Linked DNA regions of Sus scrofa. The protein of the gene in region 2 purifies or fractionates together with the protein of the main gene of each other region. This does not show direct contact. Links are inferred from orthologs where the notes say so. Each region holds a gene or a part of one and is shown on either strand. Other genes may lie near its edges. The genes, in order: NIFK, RRS1, NOP56, NPM1 and FTSJ3.

Region 1 (4,816 bases), on a different chromosome or scaffold from region 2:
TCTGGCCTAAGAACTCCACATAAGTACAGTTTTGCAGATCATCGTTTAATTCGTACTCACCTAAGTCAACTATTTTAAGACGTTAGTTAACAGTACCTCCAACATACCCTTGTTTTCTATAATAAGGACTTTTAAGTTTTCCGGGAATGCATTTTATGCTAAAACCTTTGGGAAACAGAACTTTATGTCAGGGCCCCTAGTCGTAAGCAAATGAAGCCTGGCAAAAATTGTCTCTTAAGGATTCCAAAACCATGGACCTGGCAACCGAACCTCCCCAATTTGGGGATGAAACCATGTACCAGACCCTAAATCTTTGTGTTTTGAAATAAACGGCCTTTCCTTTAGTCTCCCAGGCCTCCCCTCAGTCTCAAAAGGCTGACTCGAGAGTTAATGATTAGAAAATACTGTTACAGCTAAAACCTAGTTAAAACAGTCTCCATTATGTTGTGTCCTGCCTTGGTCTGCTAACTTATTACTAATGTTTACTTTCTAATCAGAGTTATATTGCACCTAATGTTTTCTTTTATAATTGAAACACTCTTCTGACACCCCTTCCCCTTAAGCAGTCTTTATTCCAGAGAGAAGGTCAAGGGACGATAACCCTGAAGACAACCAGAAACCATCACCAAACCGACTGACTCCGGATTTGACTACTTTGAAATGATCTATGGATTAAGAATAACATAGACATCTTAATCAATAATCCTGTCTTCCGAGCTAAACCTATAAAACCCCTTGCTATCCCCTCTCAAGTCAGGACATAGCTTTGAGGCATTAGCCTGCCGTGTCCTCCTTTGCCTGGCAAAGCAATAAAACTGTTCTTTCTCTTCCTCAAAACTCCGACTCCCAAACTAGTGCCAGTGAACAGAGGCCACATTTTCCCTACAGGGGCAGAGCCAAAGAACGCTCTTTCGGATCTGGGGCTGATCTGCGGTACAAGGGGCGCTCCCATCGGCTGGCCTCCTCTTTTCCATCGTCACCCCAACACCCACCCCTTCATTTTTCGGTCCTCTCGGGAAAACCTCGGTCTCCTGGGGTCGGGGTCTCCTGGGGTCGGGGTCTCCTGGGGTCGGAGTCTCCTGGGGTCGGGGCCTCCAGGGTGACCCTGCTGAGGCACAGGCGTGGGGCTGCCGAGACGCGCTGGGCAGAAGGCCCAGGGCGCGCCAGCCGCCTCCTCTCGCGGTTGGGGCCGCGCAGGCCACTCACCTTGGTTGCGCGACGGCGAGCCAGCGCTACCTTCTTCTGGAACTTAGCATCTTCTTGCGGATTCAGGGACAAGAGCGGCCCAACCTGGGCAGCGAGAGCCGCCATTAAGCCTGCTACCGGGCTAACCAAATCCACGCGGAGCTCCCGGAAATGCGAGTCCTGTAGGGTTCCAAAGCGGAAGTGAGGGCGGGGCCTGGGCGCGACGCGGCGCGGCAGGGGGTGGGGCCTGGGCGGGGCGCGGGGAGGGTCCAGCGAGCTCCGGCGTCCCCTGCCTCAACAGCCGCTGACCTCACTCTAACACCTGCCAGCTCCCCAAAATTGCTGTGAATAGCTTGTTAGCGTTTCCTCTATGGCCCTCACATTTCAAGGGCCAGGGTTGGGATAAAAACCAACTCCAGGGAGTTCCCATTGTGCCTCAGCAGGTTAAGAACCCGACTAGCATCCATGAAGGTGTGGGTTCCACCGCTGGCCTCGCTCACTGGGATAAGGTTCTAGCATTGCCGTGAGCTGTAGTGTAGGTCACAGATGCAGCTCAGATCTGGTGTTGCTGTGGCTGTGGTGTAAGCCGGGCAGCTGCAGCTTTCATTTGACCCCTAGACAATCGACTCCAGAAATTCTCTGGTGTCTCAGCGGGTTGGCTCAGGGCAGGTAGCTGCTGCAGTTTCTATCCCTGGCCAGGGAACTTCCTCCAGTCCTGAGCGCAGTCAAAAACCAAAACCAAAAACGAAACCAACCCCAAAACAATACTCGTGCCCTTGAGGTCTTGCTAACCATTAATTCTTTTCTATTTATCTTCTTTCTTTTTGCTGTTTAGGGCTGCACCCTCAGCATAGTTCTCAGGCTACAGGTTGAATCGGAGCTGCAACTACCCGCCTACATCACAGCCATAGCAACTCCACATACCACAGCTCCTGGCAACGCAGGATCCTTAACCCAGTGAGCAACGCCAGGGATGGAACCCACATCCTCATGGATACTAGTCGGATTCGTTACCACTGAGTCACAATGGTAACTCCCCTATTTTCCTTTTTCACTTGTTTTTTGAGCTCTTATTGTGCGTCCCTCTGCTGCTGCCTTTGGGGAACTTAGAGCTTGGGGGGAGGGGCAGATAAAGGACGTCTGAGGGTGGGTCTGGTGCTATGTGAGATACTGAAGAGATTGGGGGAGAGGCATCCTGGGTGGCAAGGAGGGCCTCCGGAGGAGGTAGCTTTGAGCTGAGACCTGAAGGCATGGGGAGCAGGCATGGAGGTCTTAGGCTGGAAAGAAGGGACCAGCCATTGTGGCTGGAGCTCAGCAAGGGGTGAGGACCAAGGGTGCAGGTGGGAGCTCCAGGGCTCTGCTTGTCAAGGTTGAAAGCTTGGGTTTTATTGTAAATGCAGGGGAATGGGAGGGTTTTATGGAAGGCTGTGGTTGTTCATACCTTTCAAATAACTCCACTAGTTAGGGTGGCAGGTGGACTGAAGAAACAGGGAGTCAAGGCTACAGTAGTAGTCCATGCCAGCCAGTATGGGAGACAGAGGTGGCAGATTGCCCAATGAAAACAAATGCACTACCTAAAATTTGGGTATTACGTTTTCTCCTTCCGATTTTTCTTGTAGAGGGCAGAGGCTTCTTGGGTAGAACAATTTTTCACTGGACTGTGTGTCCCACTCTGCCTTGGCACCCTGTCTCCAGCACCTGATGTCAGCACCACCCTTCTCCCCCCAAGTCACTTAACAACCAAATGCCTCCAGACACTTCTACAGACCTGAGTGTGTGGCTGCGTGTGCTCAATGAATGTCTCTCCTTTCTTTTGCCCCCACTGACCACCCACCATGCCACCCCTCTGTGGGAACTCAATAGTGGCATGTCTTTCCTATGGGGCCACCATCACCACCTATGCACTGGAGCCCCTGGCAGGGGATGGGGTAGGTAGCATGGTGAGGGCTGATGTCAGAGCTTCAGGGTAAGGCAGGGTGTGCTGAGTATCTAGGGAGCTGGGTCTTGGGAACAGAAGACTCTGAGAGGTGGGGCTGAGGTGCCTACCCAGCCCTGCTCGCCTTCCTCCTCTTCTCCTCCTTTTCCATCCATTGTGCCTGGTCCCTGAGGGGTCATCCAACCTTCCAGCTATGAGTCAGCATGCTCAGCCCTGCCTGGCTGACCCTTGCTCAGTCACAGGGCTTTTGGGCTGAAAGGGACAATTTTAGGGGAAGTGGAGAGAAAGTGTCATTTGTTTCATTAGTCTCAATAGTGCAGCCTCAGGACATGTCACCTGACAACTAAAAATTCCGCCTGTATTCAGTTTAGGGCCACAGGACCTGAAGTTGGGAGGGAAATTTTCTTTCTCTGTCCTTCTCTGTGACTATCACCTTGGCCACATCTTGCCCTGTGCCAGGTCTAACTTCATGCACAACCCCGAATCTAGACCCTGAGTGTGGCAATGACCTTGGCAAAGCGGGGGGGGGCGGGGGGGGGGCTCCTGGAGGGATGGGGGTGGGGAGAGTGGAGAGGGGTAGCTGCTCATAGGGTTCACTGCCCTTCAAGGAAACTTGTAGAAGTGTACCACCTATAACAGAGTCTTCAGTACTATTAAATGAGTCATATTTTCACCCTTAAATGAGCCCAGAATGTCTACAGTGTTAACATTCACACTCAGGAGAGTGCAGCCAAGTGGCCAGGGGGATGGAGATGAGTTCAGTTTCTCTAGAAAGAGATTTGGCAAAATCTGTCAAGGACTTTAAAAATAGGACTTATTGGAGTTCCCACTGTGGCTCTATGGGCTAAGAACCTTACTAGTATCCATGAGCATGTAGCTTCAATCCAGTGGGTTAAGTATCTGGCATCGCCTTGACCTTTGGTGTAAGTCACAGATGTGGCTTGGATCCTGTGTTGCTGTTGCTGTGGCGAAGGCAGGGAACTTCATATGCCTCAGGTGTATCCCTAAAAAGACAAAAACAAGCCAACAAAAAAAGAAGACTGGTGGAAATTCCTGCTGTGGCACAAGAGGATCCGTGACATCTCTGCAGCGCCAGGATGCAGGTTCAGTCCCTGGTGCAGTGCAGTGGGTTAAATGATCCAGTGTTGCTGCAGGTGCAACATAGGCCAAAACTGTGCCTTGGATCTTCTCCCTGGCCCAGGAACACCATATACCTTGGGGCAGCCAAAAAAAGAAAAAAAAAAAAGGACTTATCAAAGCAATGATCTTATCATTTAAAAAATTCTAATTTTTTCTTTTTTGTTGTAGTCGACTTACAATAATTTCAAGTATACAATTTAGTAATATTTTTATAGATTATACTCCATATAATGTTGTTATACAATATTGGCTATTTCACTGTGCTGTACATTACATTCCTGTTACTTGTCTATTTTATACCTTGTGGTTTGAACCTCTTAATCTCTGACCCAATTTGCTCCTCCCCCCATTAGTCCATTACTCTGTGTCTGTGGAACTGCTGCTGCCTTGCTATATTTAATCGTTTGCTTTATTTTTTAGATTCCTCATAAAAGTGAAAACATACAAGAGTTACCATGGTGGCTCAGCATTAATGAATCTGACTACTATACATGATTTGATCCTTGGCCTCGTTCAGTGGGTTAAGGATCTGGTGTTGCCGTGAGCTGTGGCATA
Region 2 (4,690 bases):
GAATGAATGAATTAGAAGCTAAGTCGAGCCCAGAGCAGCCCTTTCAAGGTCCTTAATGTTCTCCTATGGCAAATCCCCAAGGCTTTAATATTCAAGGCAGTTACCTAATATGACCTTTGACCTAGCTTTGGCCCCAAAGAGTGATTGGTAAAAAAGAGTTGGTGTTGAATGTTAAGACAAAGGCTCAGAAAAACCGCAGCAAATCTTGAAAATGCTTTTGGAAAAGAGAAAAAATATTATAACCCAATTCCTGGGGCATAAAACATGCTCACTAAATGTTTAAAGAGTGAATAAACAAAGCAGAACTGAGGAAAAACAGTGAGCTCAAGAAGAGACGAAACTCAGGGGGGCAGATGTGATAGATGGGGCTGTAGCTAAAGCCCTCTTGAGCTCACCCTCAACTAAATCTATTCCAAACAGCGATATCTATATTCATGGGTTAATTCTCCAACTAATCCCTTCTTCAGTAATCCAATTAAGATAAAATAAAACCTGTAAACCACACAACCAGCAGTGCCTCCCAAACTTGACCATACTCATCACCTAGCTATCTTGTTAAAAATGAAGGTTCTAAATCTTTACATTTGGGGTGAGGCCAAAGAGTCTACATTTCTAAGGCCCAGGTCACCACACCACACTTTTCAAGTATCAAGAGCCTGTAAAACATTGCAGAGAATATTCATGTAGTCTTAAAGCCAGCGTTAAAATAAATCCTGCTCCCAGCTTCCCTAGTTGTAAAACCTTAGACGTCATTTTACCTCTCTGAGTCTTCTGTTGTCATCAGTGGAATATGATGAATTACAGTAACTAACACTTACTGAATGCTTACTATGTGCCAGTAACTAATGCTTCATATTTATTAACTTATAGGACTTATATTAAACAATCCGTCCAAAGCAGGTACAATAAACATGGATCTTATTCTAGGTCGTTTAATTCAAGAGCCTGGTGTTTAATCACTGTGTAAGATTGCCCTTCCAGCCACAGCTCCTCAAGCCATTACGAAGATTAAACAGTAATTGGTATTTAGCTCACCTTCAGAGCACTGATATCCAGACCCTAGAGTAAGCTCCCTTGGGGGCATATTAACTCATTTATCTTTATAGTGGCCCTAGGAGGTAGGTACTATTAGTACTTTCATCTTACGGGTTTTAAAATAGGGCCAAATAAGTTAAACAGTTGAAGTTCAAACACCAGCGCAGTCAAGATTGTAACCAAGGCGGTCTAACAGAAGAGCCAGTCGCTCTTTAGCCACTAGCCAGGAGAGGATGTGAGAGGATGTAGCCCGGGGCGGGGAAGACCAGGCATCGGGCGGCTGGGATGGGGTCACGGCCGTGCCCACTCAGAGCTGCCTATGGCTTCCAAAGCAAACCAAGTCTTCGTCTACACTTGGCTTTAAGTACATCCGTGGGAAGGACCTCTGTCGGCCCACACCCAGGGCCCCATGGGCTCTGGTGAAATATAATTTATCTGTTCCCAAGAAGAACTGACTTAGTAAGTATCTTGAGAACTGACTTAACTTAGTGTAACACAGTCGCTCCGAGACCCCCTTATTCTGGGGCCCCCAAAATTTTCACTGCCCCTCCCTCCCTCACGCCACTGCCTAGTGGAAGCCCCGGTGCCAGTCAAACCTTGGACTTCGTAGTGCGCGGGTTCCTCGCTCCTGCTCCGCCTACATCCGGGCTGGAGCCCAAGGGCCGTCTCTAACCCCATCTGTTCTCCAACACCGCCCTCTGCCGGCCCTTCTTCGGGTCGCCCGCGTTGTGAGCCTTTTCCGGCTGCTCCGGAAGTGGAGCTTTCTCTTCCGGGACGAGCGTCTGGGCGACTGCACGTGGCTGTGTTGCCTTGGCCTTTGCCGGCGCTACTGGAGAATTGATTGGAACTGTTACCCCGGAACAGCCGGAGCCATGGAGGGCCAGAGCGTGGAGGAGCTGTTGGCAAAGGCGGAGCGGGACGAGGCGGAAAAGCTGCAGCGCATCACCGTGCACAAGGAACTAGAGCTGGAGTTCGACCTGGGTAACCTGCTGGCCTCCGACCGGAACCCCCCGACCGGGCTGCGGCATGCGGGACCCACGAAGGAGGCCGAGCTGCGAGCCCTGGCGCGGGACAACACGCAGCTGCTCATCAACCAGCTCTGGCAGCTGCCCACCGAGCGCGTGGAGGAGACGCTGGTGGCGCGGCTGCCGGAGCCCACCACTCGACTGCCGCGCGAGAAGCCGGTGCCCCGGCCGCGCCCTCTTACACGCTGGCAGCAGTTTGCGCGTCTCAAGGGCATCCGTCCTAAGAAGAAGACCAACCTGGTGTGGGACGAGGTAAGCGGCCAGTGGCGCCGCCGCTGGGGCTACCAACGGGCCCGCGATGATACCAAGGAATGGTTGATTGAGGTGCCGAGCAATGCCGACCCCATGGAGGACCAGTTCGCCAAGCGTATTCAGGCCAAGAAGGAACGGGTAGCCAAGAACGAGCTGAACCGGCTGCGTAACCTGGCCCGCGCGCACAAGATGCAGCTGCCCAGCGCGGCCGGCATGCACCCTACCGGACATCAGAGTAAGGAAGAGCTGGGCCGCGCCATGCAGGTGGCCAAGGTCTCCACCGCCTCTGTAGGGCGCTTCCAGGAGCGCCTGCCCAAGGAGAAGGCGCCCCGGGGCTCTGGCAAGAAAAGGAAGTTTCAACCCCTTTTTGGGGACTTTGCAGCTGAGAAGAAGAGCCAGTTGGAGATGTTGCGAGTAATGAACAGCAAAAAGCCTCAGCTGGACGTGACCAGAGCCACCAATAAGCAGATGAGGGAGGAGGACCAGGAAGAAGCGGCTAAGAGGAGGAAAATGAGCCAGAAGGGCAAAAGAAAGGGAGGCCGACAGGGTCCTGGGGGTAAGAGGAAAGGTGGCCCACCCAGCCAGGGAGGGAAGAGGAAAGGGGGCGTGGGAAGCAAGATGAATTCCGGGCCGCCGGGCTTGGGTGGCAAGAGAAAAGGAGGGCAACACCAAGGAGGAAAGAGGAGGAAGTAAATTTCAGCCTCGGACTTGTTTGTAAACCAAGAACTGTACTTAATGTTGACATCTAGGCACTGTAGGGGGACACCAAAGATGTGGCCCCTGCCTTCACTGAGCTTGAAGTTAAAGGGACAGCCTTGCCCTCCTCTGAAAATAGTATGTAAATATTGCACAGGACAAATTAATGTTATTTCCCACAACCAAAACTTTGGCTGAAGATTAAAGGATGTATTTAAGGCTATACGAATTAGGGAAAGAATTTGGTCGAAATTAGGAGTGAGTTCTGTTTTTAAACAGACTTTTTTTTTCCTTGTAAACTTTGTATGTGGTGTGAGGGAGGTCATATTTCAAAGACTTTTAGCATTGTTTTGATAACAAGCTTCTGTATTTATCAAAGTGGGGGAACAAAAAGATTACAAGGTTACATTTTCAGAACTGTTGTAAAGGCCATTTAATAAAGGTATGTCTGGATCTAATATTGCTTTCAAATTTTGTAAGTTTTAAGTAAAGCCAGTGACCTGGATACGTGTTACAGATTATTTTCATTTACTTTCTAGAAGATATCCACCAGCTAACTTATGACGTTAGCAAGACCGCTTTATTAGGAAAACTCATGCTCCTTTTGATACCTGATATATTATTGAAAGTGTACAACTGGTGTCTCTTTGAACACTGAAAACATTAATTTGCTCTAGCTGATAAATTTGTGCTTCACTAAATAATGCAATCTTAATTAATCCTAATTTTATACTTAAATTTTTATCAACATTTATGTCTCCAGTTCTTTTAAAGCTTCAAGTGGGATCTGTTTGGGGAAGAGAGAAACCCACAAAAACCTTGGAACATTATTATCTTTAGATTCATTTGTCACATTGACTTGAGCTGGTTTAATTAGGAGATGAAATGTTTACAGCTATCCTGGGTTTCTTTCCTTAATTGATTTCAGTAACTCACCTTCCTAAATATCTCCTGAAAATTAACAGTAAATCTAGAATGGGGGGAGGGGGCTTTTTTCTGCTGTTAGAGCTCTAGGGAGCCACTCTACTCTTGGTTTTTGGTCTGACAATTGATAGGAAATTAGAATTGGGAGTTCGTTTTGTCTTTTTTTCAGTGTTGTTCCCTTTTTACAAAGTTGTAGAAATTGCTATGAAAGAAAGGATTAATTCAGATTTCATAATGGGTTAATAAAAATATGTTCAATTGTTACTGTCTTAAGATAACTTTCTGATAAAGAGCTGTGCCATCGATAGTGTTTCTGCTAGGACAGGGGGCAGAAGGCAACATAGCATTTTAAAGGAGTCAGAGTGGAAAAGAATGCTCTTTCTCCACATTTCCCAGGTCTCCGACTAGTGACAAAGAGGATTTACACAGAGACTTGGGGAAGTATCCTAAACAGTTACCTGCATGGCAATTTCAAAGGCGGAGGGTGAGACCCTGCAGCTGGAGCAGTCGTAGTTCCGCCTCGTGGGAGAATGGCCTGGAGCCGGAGGGCTGCTGTGGGGGGCGCGAGACCCAGCGGAGCGGGTGGGCGGGCGCGGCCGAGGGGGCGGAGGGGAAGCCAGCGGCACGGATTGGCCGGCGGTGGGGGCGGGGCCCCGAGGAGGGAAACGGTGCAGCCATGGCCGCTGCCGCTCGCGCCCGGGTAGCACACTTGCTGAGGCAACTGCAGCGCGCAGCGTGAGTACGGGGTCGGCAGGCGG
Region 3 (4,514 bases), on a different chromosome or scaffold from region 2:
AACGATCCGGGGTTGCCGTGGGCTGTGGTATAGGTCGCAGACGCGGCTCGGATCCCACGTTGCTGTGGCTCTGGTGTAGGCCGGCGGCTGCAGCTCTGATTCAATCCCTAGCCTGGGAACCTCCATATGCCGTGGGAGCGGCCCAAGAAATGGCAAAAAAAAAAAAAAAAAAAAAGCTAAGAATGTCTAAATTCTGCAATTTCTTAATAGATTCCAACTTTGAAATCCCTACTTTAGAAAATAAGTACCAGTAATCCTAGAAATATTTAGGATTAAATATAGGAGTAACGAAGTAAATCAGTCATATCATTGATATTTTCCATCACACTTCAGAAACTTCTATTTAATTTGCTATTTATAACGCTTAAAAGAACTTACCATACCGATATAATACATTAATTTTGCAATTTCACTTTAAAACATGATCTTGCGTAACTGCTTCAGATTCCTAACTTTAAGCAGATACGTGTAACAAGATTTAAGCATATTTGTAAGCAATATATCGAGACCATAAGATTTTAAGACTTACCAACCACACGTAAAATTTTAATATTTTAGGTTTTAAGAATGAGCTCAGTACTTGGATTTTGTCAAATAACTGAACTGCTTAAGAAAATAAATTTATAAATACGCTCTAGTTATGGGAATTTGTTTTTAAAAAGCCCCTTAAAATGATTTTTTTTTAATTTACCAGCATATATACTATTTCGAAATAACCAGGCTTCGGATTTATAACTCTAACATTAATTATTAAAGCAAAAGTAATTTCAAAAGAGTCTGCCTAGTGCCCCAAGGACACGGAAGCAGCTGCAGTTCACTGGGGGCCGGGTCTTAATAAGAATTTAGGGTCGTTCACCACGGCGAGCAACACGTGGCCCCGCAAAAAGAGTAGGGTTCATCCGAAGCAGAGAGCGAGAAACCGAACTAGGAAGAGCAGGGGGTAGGGTCATCTTTCTTTCCTACTTCATAGCCTGCCGCCCTCATTTTAAAAGATAAATAAAATATAACTTAAAAGCACGAAGCCAGCCAGGAAGAATCACGTTGAGTCAGGGTCCGGGCCAGCGCGCCCCAGGCCCCGCTTCCATCTCGGTAAAGAGCGAAGAGCTCACTGACCCGAGGCTCCGGAGAGAGTCGTTGCCTAGCGGCGGACGGGGACAAAGGGGTCCTGGGGGTGTGGGTCTTGGGACTAGGCCTCGGTGCCTAAGTTCCCAGCCCTATGGAGAGCGGGCTCCGCAACAGTTTCGGCTGGGAAGGGTCGCCGCGGCCCGCACAAGGCCTCCTGCCCGGATTCCGCCGAGCTCTGCTGCCGGTAACTTCTGTGATGAACACATGCGGGATGGCACAGTTAGCCAGAAATGCGTCTTTCCAAACCGTTTGGTAGCCTGCAAGGCCTAGAGCGACCCGCGCGTGCCCGACAACCGCGCCGCAGCAGAGGCCGGAAAAAGCCGGCTCGCCCGCGCTCGCGAGCCCCGCCCCCGCTTTGCGGGCCATACCATCCCGCTGGACCCCTCTGGAGGCCTGCAATGGTATCGTCCCAGACCTCTGATTGGCTGATGGCTCGGGGGCGTGGCCTCCGGAGCCCGGTTCCGCGCGCCAGAGCCCGCTCGCCGCATTGCGAGCTGGGCCAGGAGCGAGCGCCATGGTGAGGAGTGGTTGTGGCGTGCGGGCAGGCCGGAGGCCGTGGTTTGGGGCTGGGTTCGGGCCGGAGCCGGCACCGGGGTCGGCGCCTGCCTCGGAAGAAGAACCGGGTGAACGCGGGGCTGGTGCTGATAGCTTGTGTCCCGGCTTGCTTTCCAGGTGCTGCTGCACGTGCTGTTCGAGCACGCGGTCGGCTACGCACTGCTGGCGCTGAAGGAGGTGGAAGAGATCAGCCTGCTGCTGCCGCAGGTGGGTGAACGCAGTGGGCTCGCCGGCTGCGCCGCATCCCCCTGGGCCGCGCGCGGCCCAGCATGCACCGCGCGCTCCCACGTGGCCGGCCGCGAGTTGTGGAGGGTGCTCTGGGCCAGACAGCTCCAGACCAGGGGTCCTTACTTGCTTTCACGATTAGAATCGCGTTAGAAACATTTGAAAGTAGCTTCCTGGACTCCATCCCATACCAATAAAGTGGAATCGGCATTTAGGGCCCATGATCGGTTTATTAGATCCTTAATGTGCGTTCGGGTCTGAAAGCTGCTGCTTTACTGCGCCCTAGAGGCAAGAGGGAGGGAAAGAAACCATTCATGCTTTCTCCCCCCAGGTGGAGGAGTGCGTGCTGAACTTGGGCAAGTTCCACAACATAGTTCGTCTCGTGGCCTTTTCTCCCTTTTCCTCGTCTCAGGTTGCCTTGGAAAATGCCAACGCTGTGTCTGAAGGTGAGTTGGCCACTAAGTATTTTGGGAGAGAGAAGCCGAGATATGGTTTCTGCTACCGTTATCCTCTTAAAGCACACCGTGCAACAGCAGAACAGCCAAAAAAGGTGGTTAGCGCAGTCGAGGACATAGGCTTTATCGCATGTGGCACTGTGGTGATAAACTCTTAAATCTGGTGGAGATGAGGGACTGGTGCTTAATTGGAAAGGGCAGTTTTGACCAAGGGAGGTTTGGTCTCAGAAGGCAGTTCAGTTTCTGAATGCTTACATTGTGCTCCATATTTCTCATTTACGTTATTTCGCCTGAGTCCTCCCATGTTTGATGCAGGCTTTGCAGTGATGACTTGAATCTGTCAATCCCCTGAGTATGATCATTGATGTCTCCATGTGTCTGAGCAAAGCCTGGAGCAGCGGGGGTCCTGGCACACCATCCTAGCATGTTCTGCAAGACCATTGTAAGATCACTGTGTCACTCAATAGGCAGTTGAGGGGATAGGATCCCTTTATGCGTCCTTCAGCATGTTAGTGGGAGCTCTGTTCTTTGCCCTGAGGTGTTGTCCATGAGGATCTCCGCCTGTTCCTGGAGACTCACCTGCCATCTAAAAAGAAGAAAGTACTCTTGGGGGTTGGGGACCCCAAGATAGGTGCTGCTATACAAGAGGAGTTGGGGTACAACTGCCAGACTGGAGGTGTGATAGCTGAGGTCCTTCGAGGTGAGACCATCTATTAATGAAATCTTAAAGGGGGTGTGGGAACTTTTTTATTAAGGTGCTTTAAGGGTGCTTCTGAGAAGCCCTGTTTGGGTGGTGCCCACGGATGCGGGAGCTAGCTTAGAGCCCCTCCTTGCTCACAGTCTTGCCCTCCTCCAGGAGTTCGACTGCACTTCCACAACCTGGTGAAAGGTCTCACTGATCTGTCTGCCTGTAAAGCCCAACTGGGGCTGGGACACAGCTATTCTCGTGCCAAAGTTAAGTTCAATGTGAACCGGGTGGACAATATGATTATCCAGTCCATTAGCCTCCTGGACCAGCTGGATAAGGACATCAATACCTTCTCGATGCGTGTCAGGTAAAGTGTAGGGGTGACCCTTGCGAAATGAGGTGTTGGGTCTGTGGTTTGGCTCATTTTGAATCCTGAAATCGAGACTGGCTCCTGTGGGTACATGTGGGGTAGAGCTGGGCCTCCCAGTGCTTACCACAGGCTGTGTTCTTACACTGACTGTATAGAAAGAGGAGGCAGAGCAACTCACCCCATATACACCTCAGCCCAGGCCCTTTGCTTGGTCTGTATTGTGAATGGGGGGACACGGAACAAGGTTTTGGATGTGACTTTTCCTCTTGGCAAAGAGTAGATGTGGAGAGGGCTGGGGCCATGGTTTTATTTGGGACTCAGCAGCTGGGCCAGGGAGTGATTGTGGCTCTTTGCAGGGAATGGTATGGGTATCACTTTCCCGAGCTCGTGAAGATCATTAATGATAACGCTACATACTGCCGCCTTGCTCAGTTCATTGGAAACCGAAGGGAGCTGAACGAAGAAAAGTTGGAGAAGCTGGAGGAGCTGACAATGGATGGGGCCAAGGCTAAGGCTATTCTGGATGCCTCTCGGTCCTCCATGGGTCAGTGCAGTGCCCAAAACTAAAATCAGGTATGGGTCTCTGGCTGTTTGGCTCCTGCACTCACACTTGATGTCCTTTAGGCATGGACATATCTGCCATTGACTTGATAAACATCGAGAGCTTCTCCAGTCGTGTGGTGTCTTTGTCAGAGTACCGCCAAAGCCTACACACTTACCTGCGGTCCAAGATGAGCCAAGTAGCCCCCAGCCTGTCAGCCCTAATTGGGGAAGCGGTGCGTCACGGGGAAGAAAAAATGGGGGCTGGAGGAATTACGATGCCTATTTGTACGGTTGTATTTCCTGACCCGTCGTATCTTTCCCAGTTGAACTTGACGGGGAGGAGATGAAGCAGGATTATGCAGTTGGTAGGTTGGCAGTTCCAGCCTCTAATTCTTAAATTCTTCTCCAGGTAGGTGCACGTCTCATTGCTCATGCTGGCAGTCTCACCAATCTGGCCAAGTATCCAGCGTCCACAGTGCAGATCCTTGGGGCCGAAAAGGCCCTGTTCAGGTACCAGTGAGGGCACCTGCCTACACTCAGGTGCCACTTCTGG
Region 4 (4,679 bases), on a different chromosome or scaffold from region 2:
CGTCGGCTGTACAGACATTTTCAAAGTTGCCAGTGTTACTTTGATTGGACTGCCTTCATAATTCATTGCCTCTGCTTCTACAATGTGCAACTCATCCTTTGCGCCAGCCCCTAAACTGACCTGTGAATAGAAAAACAGTACTTCAAACTGTCACTATTTTACAATGCCCCCCCATGAGTTTTTTAAAATACAGAATAATTATTCATCTTCCATTATTACCACTGATGGAAAACTGACGAGCTCAAAGTTGTCTTCAAGTTTTATGTGACCCTAGTCTCATACTCAGTAACTTTGAACAAATACACTAAAATGCATTTGATGACACATACTTATGCCATCACCACTGTTAACTCACAGTATGAATCGCCTAACATTTACCGGCCACCTACAATTTAAGTAGTAGGCTATAGCCTAGTCTCTGGGGAACAAGATGTATATTTGTCACTACCCTAAAGAGTTTTTAATACAACTCAAGAAAAGTAGATGACACAATAAGGAAAGCTGGGGAGTTCCCATTGTGGCTCATTGGATTACCAACCCAATGTGTATCCATCAGGATGCGGGTTTGATCCCCAGCCTCCCTTAGTGGGTTAAGGACCCCATGTTGCCAGGAGCTTCAGTGCAGATTTGCACAGGCAGCTCGGATCCTGTGTTGCTGCAGTGTAGGCCGGCAGCTGCAGCTCCAATTTGACCCTTAGCCTAGGAACTTTCATATGCCATAGGGGCGGCCCTAAAAAGCAAATAGAGAAACAGTAACAGTGAAAATAAGGAAAGCTGAACAGTGTGATTGGACTGTTCAAAATATCAAATGAGTGGTAAAGACGGCAGGTTTTCTATAACACACGTGGAAAACCAAGCATATACAACAACTATAGAAATACTTTTCTAATGTTAAGCCACACAAATTAAGCGGTGTCTGAAATCGAGAGTACTTTGTCTTGAAAAGTTTTACGTACCGTTCTTAAAGATAACTGGTGCTCATTTTCATCATTATCCACCTTAAAGTGGTAATCTTTATCGGCCTTTAGTTCACAACCTGTAAATGAGGAAACAACCCTACTATAACAAGGAGAAAAATAACACTGAATGAAACGTCACTGTGGGTAACCAAAAGTTACTTGATTTTACTATTCTATTCTAGCTACCAAAAAGCAAGGCAGAAGTACCTCTTACAGGCCTTCTTGAACACACAAGTCTATAAACATCAAATAACATCCATATAGAGCAAATAACTTTCATAGTTTTATAAATTCCTCCTTTCCATCATACTATTTTATGCTCAACTACACTCTTCTTAGGTGGAAACAGTATCAAAGATTTAGTAAAAGCTGGAACTTAAACCAAACCTAACATATGTTGATAAAAACCCCACTATTTTAAAAAGTTGAATTACCTACCCCAACTCCCAGGAGGAGTGCCAATTTAGAAATGACAGTGGTTACACAAACACATACATCGACAGCTTGTATTTACAACACAGAAAGACTACAAAGTAGGAGAACTAAAGGTTGTTACACGGGTCCACAATCCATCTCTGAACTAACAAGTGATATATATAAACTCTGTTCAGAAATTATATCTAAGGCAAAACTAGAAATATCCCAGGGATATTTCCGAGGGTAAACACAAACGTTTTTGATATAAACTGATCAGAAACTCCAGCTTTTCAAACCGGCTAAGAATAAAACCCTTAATGTATAGCGCATGTTACCATTACCACTCATGAATAGGCAAACTGATTTTAATAGTCAGAACTAAATTTTAATTTAAATAATACCATTTAATTGCCATCTACTTATTTACTGCAAGAGATGTATAAATGTTCCTGCTCAATTAACATATCTCAGCACGATATATAACAAAATGAACTTGAAGGCATTTGCACTTCTTCAAAACCTAACCGAAAAAAAATGGCTTTAACAATTAAGTTTAGTGAAGTTGAAAAACCAACCCAAGTCTCCTAGGATGGCACTGTGTGATTGAGGTGAGCAACAAAACCTTGGTAATAGAACTACAAGTTTAACAGAAGGCTGCCTCTGCTGCCCACCTCCCAAATCATTTGTAAAGCACCAGCTCTGGAAGCAAGCGTTGTGGGGTTGGAACTATTAAGTGCAACCTTCAGTTTTCCGAGTATCAGTAAGTCATCTGCAAAGAGCGCGGAGAGATAGAAAAAGAACTCTAGAACTACCAGCACTGATGTTAACCACTTAACAAAGACCTCAAGAGTACTGGCGCTACGAACCACTTCACCTAAAATTTCCCGTCCACCATCCTCAATTAAGCCCCAGGACCCCAGGCTCGGAGTGACAAGACACCAGTGAACCCCGGATGTAGCGCCCACACCCCTCCTTCCCCCAACCACGTGGCAACCACGTGCTCCCAGCGGTAGCGGCCTCCCCACGCCGGGCCGCGGCTCCCATCCCCCTGTAACCGGCCGAAGAACCCGGGCCGAGTCTGGGCCCTAGACCTCCTGACCCTTTAGGCCTGTAGGACAACGCCAGGCTCCATTTGTCCTCTCCGTCCAGATAGGAAGCCCACGTCTCACACCCTGATCCCCCACAATCTCTTGCACCACCAACCTGGAGTCCAGCATCAGGCACTAGTCTGGAATCAGAAGCCTACCAACTCACGCAACCCCAGGAAAAAATTATGCCCGGAGCTCTACCACGTGCCCCAGCTAACGCCCAACCCTAAACCGGTGGGTTCCACATTAACTCAGGCCCTGGGCCTCGGACCGCTCACGCTTCAGGCCGCCCTTACTTCCCAGTCACTCCGTGGTGCCGGCTCGCCCTCCCAGGTCCCCATCCTTAAGCTTCAGGACCCCAGCAGCTCGCTTCCCACTCCCGCAGGCCTCCAGCCTGCTTAGCTTTCTCCACCTGCCCAGGCCTCAGTGTGATTTCCACCACCCACTCCAAAGCCACCAGGCCGCGCTCGGCCTTGGCCCAACACGCCAGTACTTACCGAAAAGATAGTTCTGAGGCCTCAGGGGGCTCATGTCCATATCCATCGAATCTTCCATGGGTTGGTGGCACGCACTTGGGTGGGAGAGAAGGCGGACGGAGATAATCCACTAGTGTTGCGGAGAACAGCCGCGCAGGACGGAATCACACCAGGGAAAGGACGCGGGCTCCCTGCGCACATATATAGCACCCTGACGATCTCGCGAGAGCTCTTCAAGTCCCGCCTCCGCGCGCGTGCTCGGAAGCCCCCCTCCCCGCACAGTCTCTCTCCTGCGCAAGCGCTCTTCAACATCACTCCTTGCTACCTCGCCCCCCACCTCCTCCAGGTACTTCGCGGGCTCCCACCGAGCACGCGCATTCGTACCCTGGTCCCACCCACTTCGCCGCCACCGCCTGTGCGCACGCGTACTTCCCCCTCGTAGCGCGCGTTCCCCCACCCTCCAAACCTTCCACGTCCTCTCCCGCTCAGGAGCGCGGGCCTTGCGCCAAGAGCCTGCGCAGCCCACCCTGCAAAATGGCGGCAGCAACTCTTAGCTGGGTTAGGTACGAAGGGCGAGCTGGTTGTAAGTGAACCAGAGAGCAGCTCATTTCTCCTTTCGCCATCTCCTCATGCCTCGCAGGCCTGCAAACAGGCATAACCACTTCCAGTTTTTTGGCTCGCCTGAAGGCCTGAGCCCAGAGTTCATTGTTTCCCCAAAGTTAAAGCTTAAGGTGCCAGAGACAGTGGACTACGGATTGCCACTTGTTGGGGAGAAAAGATGTAGCTGCTGGCCAGACTTAATCGGTTCTGTTTTTAACCCCCTGTCCTTTCTGAGGAAACATCTCCGAATTTAAAATTCTTCGACATTACGTCACTGGGAGGCCAACAGGGGGTTCTAAATCGGTCTCTTTCATATGAGCAGGGCAGGAACCAAGCCTGGGTGATTTCTCCAAAGAGAAAGTTTTAAAAGGGTTGTGTATCCACCGTATGTCCCCACGTAACAGGTAAGAGGCAGATGTGACTATCCCCATTTTGCGGACAGGGAGACGCGCCACGAGGAAGTAAGGTGCCCAGACGGAGTGGTTACAGAAACAGGGTTCTCTAGCTCCAAGTCTAATACTAACACCTGTCTAAAAGCTCGGGGGATTACACGGGGGTCCAGTGTCTGAGGTTGTGCAGTTCTTAATCTTTAACATCACTAAGGTTGTTCTGGCCTGAAAAGAAGGCATTTGACGTTTAAGAAATACACAAACTTAGACTCTGGAAGCGAGCCTGGAAATGAGTATCTTAAAGTACGCTGTCAAACTGAGGACCACCCTTCCCCCAACCGCAGCTCCTCGGGCAGGGGTGCTGAAGATCCCCACAATTATGGTTTTTACACAAATTTAAAAAATTAAAGTACTGTAAAGAATAAAAATAGTGACAGCAATCCCCTACCGCCTTTTCTCCAAACATAGGCTACTTGGGAAGATAAACTGTGATACGCATGAACCAATAATTAACAGAATCAAAATTCAAAATGTGGAGAAATCAATGCTTATTTGTGAATGGACTAAGCTGTTCTCCGCTTTTCCCTGCTCCCAACTGAAAAAAGTCTTTACCAGCTTGGTTCTAGCATCTTTTAAAATGCAGAGTGTGACCAATTACTAGAGAAAAAAACCGAGTCTTGGAAAGTTACTACGGATTGCCACTTGTTGGGGAGAAAAGATGTAGCGGAGAACATCCGTAAAGGAACTGAG
Region 5 (4,012 bases), on a different chromosome or scaffold from region 2:
CCCACCTCCAAGGCCACCGTCATCTGGTGGAGAGAAATTGTGATTTTGTGACTCTTGTGAACTCAGAACCCATCTTTCCTCTATACCTACACTTCCAGTTAGCTAGCTGGGCCTTGATTTACCTATTTCATCTGTCTCCAGATTTATGTTTCAGGCAGATCCCAAGATTTATTGTTTCCATTAAGGTAGCGGCACAGAAACCATGGAATTGTGGGGCCGTCAAGTTTCTTAACTTAGTATCTCACCTGCTGTTGTCTCTTTTAGTCACAGTACAAGAGTCACTTTGTCGCTGCCAGCTTAAGCAACCAGAAGGCTGGAAGCTCTGCTGCTGGAGCAAGTGGATGGACTAGTGCAGGGAGCTTGAATTCAGTTCCAACTAATTCAGCCCAACAGGGTCATAACAGTCCTGACAGCCCTATTGCCGGTGCCACCAAGGGCGTCCCAGCCTTTGGCAGTGCTGGCAACCTCAGCAGCGCCCCAGTGACCTACCCTTCTGCCGGAGCCCAGGGAGTCAACAACACAGCTCCAGGGAATAACAGCCGAGAAGGGACTGGGGGTGGCAATGGGAAGAGAGAGCGATATACTGAGAACCGGGGTGGCAGCCGACATAGTCATGGAGAGAGTGGCAATCGGCACGGTGAGAGCCCGCGTCATGGAGATGGTGGTCGCCATGGAGATGGATACCGCTACCCAGAAAGCAGCAGCCGTCATGCCGATGGCCGGCGTCACACTGATGGCCACCCTCATGGAGAGAACAGGCACGGAGGAGGTGGAGGCCGCCACGGGGAGAGCCGAGGCGCAAGCGATGGTCGGAATGGTGAAAGCAGGAAAGAAAGTTGTAATCGTGAGAGCAAGATGGACCCCAAAGCAGACAGCACCAAGGCGGATAAGACAGACAGCAAGACAGATAAGACAGCTGATGGGTTTGCTGTCCCTGAGCCCCCAAGCGCAAGAAAAGTCGATGGGACAGTTAAAGGGTATGTGCTGAAGTGTGAATCAATTGTCTTTAATTTTATTTTTAGAAAGATTTTTGGTAACTAGGTGTCTCAGGGCTGGGTTGGGGCCCAAGGTGCAAGGACCCCCTGTGCTTAGTGAGTAGTTGGAGCTTGGAGACATTACCCCCTCTTCTGGGTCATTTTTCAGATGTTTTTGGGAAGCTGCTTTGGTCCTTAGAAGTGAGACCTGAGAAGCTTCTTTTGGCTCTGGGTGAGTTGTCATGAGGGTCAGTTGAGGAAACCTTGGAAGAAAGGGCCTTATAAGGCACAAAACTCATTCTAGGTTTATATTCTATGTAGTGCATATTTTTTACTAAAATGTCACCTTAAAAACATCTACAAATAAAGTTCTTTTTCTGTGGCCAGGCAGACCCCTTTGCAGGAGTTGGCTGCTCCTACGAACCCAATCCACAGAGGTGTTAGGGATGTGTGGGAAGCACTTTGGTGCATCCAAACATTTGCAGGGAAGGGAGATGTCTGATTCTGAGGGAAAAGTGATGCTCAGGTTCCCCAGCCCTGAGACAGGAAGCAGCAGCCTGCCAGACCCAGAGCCGCGCTGGGCCTGAAATGTTGCTAAATGGAAAATTAAGCAAAAATCCAACAACAGCTTTTAAAGTGTCTTCTCCTATTTCACTGTATTTTTTTTAACTTGCCACAATGGTAGAAGAATCTTTTGCTGAAATGATTTTGATGATTTTTGTTCTATCTTGTTTATAAAAGGAAAAATATACGTACTTCAAATTTTGTGACTTTGTGAAGGTTTCTTTAAGATGTGCATTCCTTTCTGCTTGCTCTAGTAAATGGTTTACTACTGGGACCTGTGGATTGTTTGTCATTTACTTCACCATGAGTCGGTACGTATTAACTGTGATCTGGAACAGTGCAGCACGTGGTGTCAACAGTTACCACGCACTGATCATCCTGATTTTATTCAGATGATGCCCACCTGCCCAGGAGCAGACTACAGCACGTGCCATCCCAACACTGAACTCCCCCGCTTAGGATTTAAAAAGGGTGTGATTTTCTTACCCCACAACGGTTGTGGGGTCTGGGATGGTGCCGACAGGACATTTCAGTGGCATGTTAACAGGAGCCCTTCTTCCAGCCAGGAAGACATCCCCCTCACAGCACAGGACCACCCCCAAGTGCCCGGCACCTGTCTTTTCACACTGTGATGCTGGCAACAAGGGACGGGATGGTACTGAGGAGGCGGAAGGCCTCGTCCTTACACAGTCCTGCTGGAAGTCCTGCAGCTCTGCTCACTTGCGCTTGTGCTTTTTCTTCTGCTCCTTCCGTTGCTGTGCTCTTTGGTCTTTCTTCATCCTCGAGTCCACCACCTTGAAGTGACCTCTGACTCCAGCTGGTCGGCGTACTTTGCGGCCCACACCTTTTTTGGCTACGACATAGGTGACCTGGCGTTTCTCCTTTCCAAGCCCTGCCTTCTTGTAGAGACTGTAAATGGAGGACCCAGGTCAGAGGCTTTCGGCCGCTCCCCAACCTCACACACCCTCGCGGGCGACTCCCCGCCCCTCACCTTCGAAGCTGTGCCACTTTCTCCCGCTCTGAGATGTCCACCGTGTTGACCACAGCTTCTGCCTTCTTCTTGGTCTGCTCCAGCTTCTTCAGCATCTGGAGAAGGAGCTCTGTGAGGCTCACCCTTCCTACCCCTGCCCCCCACCCTCCACCTGGAACCTCGGCAAGCCCGGCCATTTACCCTCCGTTTCTTTCTGGCCTTAGCCTCAGCCACTTTCTTGATGGGACGGGCGTTGATTTCCCGCCAGCGTTTCCTGTAATACTCCACCTCCTTCTTATCAAGAGGCAGCTGTCGTATCCTGTGCTGCTTCTCCTCCTGCACAAACCACTCTGGAAGCTCCCCCTCATCCTCATTAAATGTGTACCTGCGTGGAGAGTACGCCAGCCCTGGTGACCACCCCAGGCTTTCAAATTAGAAATCCTCCCTCCCCACCCGCCTGGGCCACTTCTCACGACTTTTGGCTCCTTACCGGCTGAAGGAGTCATCTATGAGGTCTCTCTTGGCTTTTTTGGAAGAGGCAATAATGGCGCCTAGAGCCAGGCCTTCAGGGTCCAGTATCCGATGTCTCGCTAGAGAGAGCAGGAGAGTTAAAGCTCAGTTTCAACACAACCTTCCCGGTGGCCTCCCACTCCACTAGGGCTGGAGCTCTCACCTGGGTCCTCAATGGGCACGATCTCAAACCCGTCGTCATCCCCTGCCTCAGGCCCCCGTCTTCGCTTCTGACTGCGTGGTTTCCAACTGGGGAAGAGGGGGGAGTCCGACTGCAGGATGCTCCACCATCATACATGCCACTCACACCCACTCCTGCCTCACCGCACCCTGGTTCTCCTTAAAACTGCTTGGGGAACTTCCAGAACCTCGCCACCCAGGCTGTCCTGCAGACCACTTTAATCAGTTTTTGCTTGTTTTGGTCTTTGTCTTTTCAGGGCTGCACCAATGGCATATGGAGGTTCCCGGGCTAGGGGCCGAATCAGAGCTGTAGCCGCTGGCCTATGCCATAGCCCCACAGCCACGCCAGATCCAAGCTGTGTCTGCGACCTACACCACAGCTCAGGGCATCGCCAGATCCTTAACCCACCGAGCGAGGCCAGGGATCGAACCGCAACCTCATGGTTCCTAGTCAGATTCGTTAACCACTGTGCCACAATGGGAACTCCTACTCAGTATTTTTTAAATTCCCCATCTACCGGCAAGGTTGAAGACCCCCAACTTAGCAACGATTAGAACCACTGCTCCTCTTCATCCCTTCTCCCGTCAGCTGCAACCACTCACGTGTCTTCATCCTCACTGCTGCTGCTGTCGCTGTCAGAGCTGCTATCTCTGGCTTCCCCGCCAGGGCCTGTGGCAGCCTCTGTCCCTGAAGGAGCCCCTGCCCCTTCAGGGGCCTCACCCTGGCATGGGGGTGGTTTTCTCTCAGTCTTCACGCTGGAAGGTGCTGGCAGTGGCTGCTGCCCCTTGCGACGGCTCTCGTACAACAGCTGTG

Evidence for each region.
Region 1: the proteins of RRS1 (region 2) and NIFK purify together in Homo sapiens (affinity purification with mass spectrometry; 3 studies listed by BioGRID and IntAct, counting the BioPlex papers as one, with this or other methods). This does not show direct contact. The link is inferred for Sus scrofa from reciprocal best matches to the Homo sapiens genes RRS1 and NIFK.
Region 3: the proteins of RRS1 (region 2) and NOP56 purify together in Homo sapiens (co-immunoprecipitation; 3 studies listed by BioGRID and IntAct, with this or other methods). This does not show direct contact. The link is inferred for Sus scrofa from reciprocal best matches to the Homo sapiens genes RRS1 and NOP56.
Region 4: the proteins of RRS1 (region 2) and NPM1 purify together in Homo sapiens (affinity purification with mass spectrometry; 3 studies listed by BioGRID and IntAct, counting the BioPlex papers as one, with this or other methods). This does not show direct contact. The link is inferred for Sus scrofa from reciprocal best matches to the Homo sapiens genes RRS1 and NPM1.
Region 5: the proteins of RRS1 (region 2) and FTSJ3 purify together in Homo sapiens (affinity purification with mass spectrometry; 3 studies listed by BioGRID and IntAct, counting the BioPlex papers as one, with this or other methods). This does not show direct contact. The link is inferred for Sus scrofa from reciprocal best matches to the Homo sapiens genes RRS1 and FTSJ3.

What each region holds. Positions count from the first base shown.
Region 1 is NC_010457.5:29,717,499-29,722,314, reverse strand, and holds the start of NIFK (MKI67 FHA domain-interacting nucleolar phosphoprotein), read right to left. Parts: upstream 3,292-4,816; 5' UTR 3,277-3,291; coding exon 3,232-3,276; intron 1,366-3,231; coding exon 1,207-1,365; intron 1-1,206.
Region 2 is NC_010446.5:68,285,306-68,289,995, reverse strand, and holds RRS1 (ribosome biogenesis regulatory protein homolog), read left to right. Parts: upstream 1-1,782; 5' UTR 1,783-1,907; coding exon 1,908-3,005; 3' UTR 3,006-4,193; downstream 4,194-4,690. Other genes in the region: ADHFE1 (hydroxyacid-oxoacid transhydrogenase, mitochondrial), read left to right, coding at 4,609-4,667. UniProt on the Homo sapiens protein: Involved in ribosomal large subunit assembly. May regulate the localization of the 5S RNP/5S ribonucleoprotein particle to the nucleolus.
Region 3 is NC_010459.5:32,962,429-32,966,942, reverse strand, and holds the start of NOP56 (nucleolar protein 56), read left to right. Parts: upstream 1-1,611; 5' UTR 1,612-1,639; coding exon 1,640-1,642; intron 1,643-1,797; coding exon 1,798-1,887; intron 1,888-2,236; coding exon 2,237-2,351; intron 2,352-2,898; coding exon 2,899-3,060; intron 3,061-3,216; coding exon 3,217-3,415; intron 3,416-3,774; coding exon 3,775-3,962; intron 3,963-4,042; coding exon 4,043-4,194; intron 4,195-4,370; coding exon 4,371-4,471; intron 4,472-4,514. UniProt on the Homo sapiens protein: Involved in the early to middle stages of 60S ribosomal subunit biogenesis. Required for the biogenesis of box C/D snoRNAs such U3, U8 and U14 snoRNAs. Part of the small subunit (SSU) processome, first precursor of the small eukaryotic ribosomal subunit.
Region 4 is NC_010458.4:52,778,627-52,783,305, forward strand, and holds the start of NPM1 (nucleophosmin), read right to left. Parts: upstream 3,237-4,679; 5' UTR 3,020-3,236; coding exon 2,962-3,019; intron 1,037-2,961; coding exon 957-1,036; intron 121-956; coding exon 1-120. UniProt on the Homo sapiens protein: Involved in diverse cellular processes such as ribosome biogenesis, centrosome duplication, protein chaperoning, histone assembly, cell proliferation, and regulation of tumor suppressors p53/TP53 and ARF.
Region 5 is NC_010454.4:15,111,999-15,116,010, reverse strand, and holds the end of FTSJ3 (pre-rRNA processing protein FTSJ3), read right to left. Parts: coding exon 3,802-4,012; intron 3,268-3,801; coding exon 3,182-3,267; intron 3,099-3,181; coding exon 2,999-3,098; intron 2,916-2,998; exon of another isoform or gene 2,894-2,915; coding exon 2,710-2,893; intron 2,625-2,709; coding exon 2,530-2,624; intron 2,448-2,529; coding exon 2,255-2,447; 3' UTR 986-2,254; downstream 1-985.